Linked DNA regions of Danio rerio. The protein of the gene in region 1 purifies or fractionates together with the protein of each later gene. This does not show direct contact. Links are inferred from orthologs where the notes say so. Each region holds a gene or a part of one and is shown on either strand. Other genes may lie near its edges.

The links.
Region 2: the proteins of tnpo1 (region 1) and nup153 purify together in Homo sapiens (co-immunoprecipitation; 3 studies listed by BioGRID and IntAct, with this or other methods). This does not show direct contact. The link is inferred for Danio rerio from reciprocal best matches to the Homo sapiens genes TNPO1 and NUP153.

Annotation. Positions count from the first base shown.
Region 1 is NC_133180.1:35,850,424-35,854,254, reverse strand, and holds part of tnpo1 (transportin-1), read left to right. Parts: intron 1-2,132; coding exon 2,133-2,214; intron 2,215-2,442; coding exon 2,443-2,565; intron 2,566-3,831. UniProt on the Homo sapiens protein: Functions in nuclear protein import as nuclear transport receptor. Serves as receptor for nuclear localization signals (NLS) in cargo substrates.
Region 2 is NC_133194.1:48,917,299-48,921,129, reverse strand, and holds part of nup153 (nuclear pore complex protein Nup153), read left to right. Parts: intron 1-3,454; coding exon 3,455-3,799; intron 3,800-3,831. UniProt on the Homo sapiens protein: Component of the nuclear pore complex (NPC), a complex required for the trafficking across the nuclear envelope. Functions as a scaffolding element in the nuclear phase of the NPC essential for normal nucleocytoplasmic transport of proteins and mRNAs.

The DNA.
Region 1 (3,831 bases):
TAAAATATCTTCATTTTAGTTTAAAGGCAAGGCAGGTCTCAGGGGACTGGATTGACGAAAAAAATGAATTTTTATTTTATGGTGAACCTTTAACCTGAATGTTTAATTGCACATCTTGTAATGCAATTCAAAAAACTCCTGCACTGTGTCTTTGTTTTGTGTGTTGTATTCCACAAGGTTTTGTGCAGTAGTAATAACTGTCCATTTGCTGTGTCCCAAACTGAAGGCCTCATACTTAAATATATTTTATATATCCCTTTTAAAAATATTTGAAAGGGATAAAGGTTGTAAGGCACCAAAAAACTGGAAAAAACAACTTGCACTCCTATCCATGAGAGTCAGAAATTAAACAAAAATTCAATGGAGTAGAAAGTATATACTTCTTAATCTTGTAATGAAGTGGTCGGTTTTGAGCACTTTGGTTTGGAACAACACTTCAATATGGCGACACATGACTGTTCACATTCTAGCAGTGTCCTTTGGGGGCGATTTTTATCCCTTGTTGTGGCAAGCAGCAAAATTTTTGATTTGTTTTATAACACACGCCAAACAAATTTGTGCAGCTACTGTATTGGAATGCCATTGTGGCGCCACCTTCTGTATTGGAGTGCCCCATGGATAATTTATAATGTTAATGTTTATTATCAACTTCATATTATCTTTTTTTTTCATTAGATTTCATTATAGATCTCCACTATTGGTATATTCTGACATCCCTAATTTCGAGTAATATATTTTCCCAAGTAGGCATGGGACGATAACCATTTTTAAGGCATACCGTGATTTAGAAAAGTCAAGGTTTTAAAACTGGCAACATTTTTACCAAAGATCCCGTTTTAAATTGTAAAGAAATCAGTGTTTTGGAAACTAATGAAGACAGCAGAATTAAGGATTTATTTGAATAATTTAGCCTGACATGTTTACTGCCCCAAAATATTTCAAATGTTTCTCAAAATAAAATATACTGTGTATATTTTTTGTTCAAAGGGGAAAAAAGCTGTTGTTTTTTACCCAGACATTTAAAGAGAATGTATTTTAGAGCAGTATTCACAATACCATGAAACTGTGATAATTTTATCCAAAGTTATCATCCCGTCAGAATCTTATATAAGCCCAATTCTATTCCCAAGCAATTGACCTTTCACCAAAAGTAAATTGACAGGTGATCTGACCAGCCACATTGCCTACAAACCCCACAAATCTTGTCATCTCAATGACTGTTTGTAATCCAGTAAGCTCTAAAAATGTAAATTATCTTTGTTTGTCTTGGAAAATGCCTGTTTTTTTTTTTTAGACGGGTGATAATAATAATATTAACAATAATCCGTACATTTATATAGCGCTTTTCTAGACACTCAAAGCACTTTACACATTTTTTTGGGAGCGAATCTCCTCATCCACCACCAGTGTGCAGCATCCACCTGGATGACGTGATGGCAGCCATAATGTGCCAGACCACACACCACAGACCAGCTGATCGGTTAAGAGGAGACAGTGTGATGAAGCCACTTTTGGTATAGGGAGGAGGCCATGATAGACAGAGGCCAGTGGGCATATTTGGTCAGGACGCCAGGATTAAACCACTACTTATTTTTGAAGGACATACTGGGATTTTTAACAAGTTAGAACCTCGAAAGACATCGCTCACTGAACAGAATAGAGTCCCTGTCACTATATTGGGGCATTAGGACCCACACGGACCACAGGTTGGGCGCCACCTGCTGGTCTTACCAACACCACTTCCAGCAGCAACCCAGCTTTCCCATGTGGTCTCCCATCCAGGTACTGACCGGGCGCAGCCCTGCTTAGCTTCAGTGAGTGACCATATGAGAGTTGCAGAGAGCTAGCTGCCCGCTCTCTGATGCTGTCTCTTATCTCAGCTTTGCTCTTTTTAATTGCCTAGCTTTACTTTCTCATACTGAGTATGTAATTCAAATGCATGTGGACATGTATTTGCTGACCATTCTGTTTGAAATCAACATACATATTTTCCAGACATTATTCATTATTTCAACAGAGAGTGCACAAGTTGACAACGGCACAGCGAGTGAATATAGCTTGACGGACATAAAAAGGGTCAGTTGTTCTGACTGCATACTGTGTGTGCGTTCTGTGTTTGTTGTCTGTTGTAGGTCTCATGCCATTGCCTGTGTGAACCAGTTCATCATCAGCAGAACGCAAGCCCTAATGCTGCATATAGACCCCTTCATTGAGGTACAACAACCAAAAACTGACAACCTTTAAACATGCTTTGCTCGCTTGATGTTAAGTGCATTGTATAAGCCACAAAAGAATATAAGTCACATTTCTGATAAAAACGGGACTTATATTCTAATAAAAATAAGATGCTCACAATATTCTCTGATGCTAGTTTTGTTTGAGGAAGTTGTGGAGTTCTAAAAATAGAAAATGCATTTTTATGTGTTCATTGTTGTGCTACAGAACCTGTTTGCACTGGCGGGGGATGAGGAGCCAGAAGTGAGGAAGAATGTGTGCAGAGCTTTAGTCATGCTTTTGGAAGTGCGACTAGACCGTCTCCTTCCACATATGCACAACATCATTGAGGTGAGATCCCGCCTCCTGCAACCCTCATAAAAACCCTAATATAACTCTCTGACATGAACGCTGAAAGCGAGAACCTTGACCTCTGGAGGAGTGAAATACTGCTGTAGTTGATCATTTATAACAGTCATAAAAATTTTCTGGTAAATTTTGCCAACAAATCTCACAGGTAAAATAAATCAACAGTGGCCTCTTGTGGACTTTCTTCAACTATATTTTTGTGAACTAGTTTGGCAAAATGAAATTAGTGAGCCTTTTTTAGCCAACACTGTTAAATTCATCAAAGGTTGCAGCTGTTAAGCTTTTAACTATGTCAGAGATCTCATGTAACCCCTATTTTAATTTCTCTACATTGACTCACTGTAAAGTTGTAATTAATAAAAAAAAATGATTTAGTCTAAATGAATATATACAGAGATTCATCATCCATGTAATTCGAACAATCCTCAAATCAGTTCATGGTCATTGTTTTACATTCCAGATTAAAGATAAAAAGAGGCTGTGCTCTTGAGGTAGTTACTGAGGAAACGGAGATCTGCAGACTCTGTGGACATTTTAAAAAAGCAGCTGAAAACTCACTTGTTCAAACTTGCTTATGCCTAAGATAATGTTTTTTTTTTTATAATTGTGAGTGTGTTTTTTAGGTCTTCATTTTACAATTTGGTTGTAAATTTCATTTATTTACTTATTTAACCAGGAATGTCCCATTGAGATGTAATATCTCTTCTGCCAGGCAGCATTAGACAGAGATACAAAGAAATACTTATCACAACACGTACAGTGCATCCAGAAAGTATTCATAGCGCTTCACTTTTTTCACTTTTTCACTGCTTTTTCATTTTTTTATGTTACAGCCTTATTCCAAAATGGGTTAAATTCATTTATTTACTCTTAATTCTGCACACAATACCTCGTAATGACAATGTGAAAAAAACTTTGTTTAAATTGTTGCAAATTTATTAAAAATAAAAAAACTGAAAAATCCCATGTACAATGTACATAGGTATTCACAGCCTTTGTCGTGAAGCTTTAAATTGAGATCAAGAACATTCTATTTTCACTGATAATTCTTGAGATAATTCAGCAGCTTAATTGGAGTTTACCTGTAGTAAATTCAGTTGATTGGACATGATTTGAAATGGCATACACCTGTCTATATAAGGTCCCAGGGTTGACAGTGCATGTCAAAGCACAAACCAAGCATGAAGACAAAGGAATTGTCTGTAGACCTCTGAGACAGGATTGTCTTGAGGCACAAGGCTGGGGAAG
Region 2 (3,831 bases), on another chromosome or scaffold:
ACTCAAGGACTCAACAGATATATGTGTGCGCATACTTGGGGTTGTTCCAGTTCAGTCTTAACACCTGGATTAAGAGAATCGTGTGACGCAATTTCATCTTCTTTTGTCTTTTTGAGTGTTAAAAGTTTTTTGTGCATTTATAAGATCTGTAAAACATTAAAAATCCTAATTAAAGTTAAAACTCCTCCATCTACCTAGAACACCTCATGCAAACACAACAAGGATTGACCTCAATGTACATGCAAAGAAAGCTGTTTCTTCTGTGAAAGGTGTTCTGCTTAATCTGATCAATAAGCTCGATCATCAACATATTCAGAATGAAATTTATCTGGTATTACTATGGAAATAAAGGGCATAATATTTCCCAGTTCCTCCAGGACTTTACAAGTCCAATAGTTCTTGAGATTTTAAGTATAATTATTATAAAACAAGATGTATATTTTCACAGCGAGATGCAATAATTGATACAAATGATGCCACAAGTTTTAAGTAAGGCCATTTTAGGCTGCATATGTTTTTTAGTTCCTTTACACACTTGAGGCATTCAGCCAATTACAGAACACTTAATGGAAGGCTGACGAATCAGAACACTGCACACGTTTCAGAATGATGAGCTTTGTAACATTGTTTCAGAAAGGCAGAGCAGAGATGAGAAATGGTAATGTACAGTATGTGGGGAATTTATTTATTTGTTTACATTATATGCATTGCATTACACCAAATACACAAAATAATGTTCATTTAGCAACATCATATGACTCCTTTAAAGGGATAGTTCTCCCAAAAAATGATTTATTCATCTTTCAATTGTTCATAACCCATTTAATTTTCGTTCAGTTGAACAATATATTTTGAAAATGTGGCATCCATTGACATTGTCATTGTTTTCTACTATTTAAGTCAACGGGTGGCAGCAACTATTATTTTAAAAAATATATAAGCTGCGTCCCAAATGCGCTATTCTACGCCATTTTGTAGTATAAATAGTGTAAGTAGTGTGTTCACACTGAAAACTCTAAAAATAATGAGCGCTTTAATAACCTGGATGATGCACTCATTCAGCCGCTAAAATGAAGTGTGTAATGATGGACACTTCACGGACTCAACGACCGCAGGTTTACCAACGTAGCAGAAGGGACGGAGCTATCAGGCACACATGTTGGATAACTTTATTTATTTTGGATGGTGAAAGCAAAATTCTCCTACAAAAGTGATTATAGCGCCTCCCGATGGTGAATGGGGTTATACTCACGGCAGGTATTATTTGATAATTCGGTCGTTTATTTCACTGATTTGGCAACCGTCAAACGTCATCAGGAAAACGGTTTGAATTTCCGCTTAGTAAAAAAACATAAGTGTGCCATTTGGGACGACACAACATACATGTACTATCCTGTTGAGTGTGTAAGTGCATAAGTACATAGTGTATAGTGTGCCATTTGGAAAGCAGCTATAGTTTTGTGTTCAACACAAGAAAAACTTACAATGATGCAGCATTCTTAATTTTTAGGTAAACTATCCCTTTAAGTATGTTAAGTGCTTTTGAAATGTGCATTTTTTAAAAATTTGATGGTTCATGTAATCAAGGACTAAGACACGTCACTCTGGTCAATATGGTGAATGAAGCCCGCTCTCTAGTACAGGAGCCAATCATTGATCAATATATAGTGATTAAAGCCAAGTAGGTATCGCTGCAGCCAGGAGACCTGCATGTGGGAGGGATTACACCGCAAGTAGGTTGGTTGACCTCCAAGTGGGAGTGACTCAAACCGCAAGGAGGTTGGGTTTATCAGGTTACTGTGAGGTTGGGTTTAGGGTTGGGTTTAGGTGTAGACGTTAATAAAACACAACAGGTTACTGTGAGGTTGGGGTTAGGGTTAGGTGTACAAATTCATAAAGCACAATATTGAACTCTAAATACGACTAAATAAGGTTTGCCCAGCCCACTTGGAGCTCCAAGACCCACCCACTTGGAGCTGGCTCCGGCCTCCGTTTATACCCTTCTCAATAAAGCCGGCCTTCTAGTACAGGAGCCAATCATTGATCACTATATGGTGAACAAAGGCCGCCTTTTAGTACAGGAGCCAATCATCGATCACTATAGACTGATACTACTCTGGGGGAAGGGCTCAGATTAGATGTGAGTTTCTGGAGATTTTGTGTAATTTGGACGTTTAGAAATTAAACTAAAAAGACTGTTGTTGTTTAATATTATTGGCAATTCCTAATATGAAATTCAATCATAAGCTTGGCAAGCAGTTTTGGAGAATTTGATGTTTCCCCATTCAGACAGAGTGCCCGAGCATACTTGCCTGAGAGTTGTTCCAAAGATGGCCGCCAAGTGAAATAACTTGCCTTAAAGCAGGGGTGTCCAAACTCGGTCCTGGAGGGCCGGTTTCCTGGAGAGTTTATCTCCAACTTGCTTCAACACACCTGCCAGGAAGTTTCTAGTATATCTAGTGAGAGCTTAATTAGCTGGTTCAGGTGTGTTTGATTAGAGTTAGACACTCTCATGGGCTGCGTCCGAAACCGCCTACTACTCAGTAGGTACTGCATTTGAATTTAAACGTACTACTCGGCCGTTAATAAAGTACGCTCTATACAGTATGAATGTGAAAAGTATGAATGGAATTCGCACGTACTACATCCGCCATTTTGACAGTCACGTGACGTACCTGCATAATTTGCGTCGCTTTACTCCTATTCATAAATTCGCTCGCGGGGCATCATGGGATAGCGCAGCATGCATGAAATGCACACTCCAGAATCTCGTCGGAAGTAGTAAGTCATCCGGGTACTTCTCACATACTGTTTTTCGAATTCTGTGAATCCGGACATACTACTCAGCTCATATACTGATTTTAGAGAACTATATAGTATGGAAGTATGCGGTTTCAGACGCAGCCATGGACATCAGCCCACCAGGACCAAGTTTGGACACCCCTGCATTTAAGGGACTTTAACTTAATCTCGACTGAAATAAACAGAGGGTGGGATAGTAGCTCCTCCTCCTTTTTTAAAAACAGCCAATAGCATTTTGATTTCATCACAGCTCTCAGTAAGAGTCATTGAATGGAAAACATGAGAAGCGTGTTGAAGGGGGCGGAGCATGTCAGATTCTAGAGCGCATTTAATCGGTCATTATTTGATAAGAAACTGAATTATGACATGACTTTAGGTGGAAGTGACAAACTGCAAGCTTTGGATGTTTATATCAGTTTTAGACTTTCTAAACGCAAATTTTGTTTTGGAACACACCAGCTAATAGATATACTTACAACTGACAGACTGAAGCATCTAAAATTTATTTTAATTTCATGAAACCCTTATGGTTGTAGCTGAAATGTCCTCATTGGTTGTTCTTCAGTTATTCTCCGCTGTAGATAAAGACTGTAGTTATTGTACCATGTTTGTGTAGCACCACAGTTTGACTCTCCATCTATGTGCTTTCCAGAAACTTCTGCTCCAAAGCCCTCTTTTGGCTTCATGGCCAACTCCACCTCCAGCACCCCAGCCTCCTCCAGCTCCACCCCCAGCCTTTTCGGCACTCCCACCACCTCTTCCCTGGCTCCCACGCCTGCTCCCACTAGCACCTTTGTGTTTGGCCAGAATTCCTCCTCTGAACTAAATGTGGGAAAGACTTTCGTGTTCGGACAGCAGCAGCAGGACAGTCAGCCGGCTCCTCCTGCGGCCCCTTCTGCTGCCCCAGCACAGCCTTTCCAGTTTGGCTCGGGCTCAAACTCATCCACCCCTTCTTTCACATTTGGTGCTGCTGCGTCCTCCACCCCTGCCTCTGCTGGTTAGTTTACCACCAAATATCCTGTTGTTGTC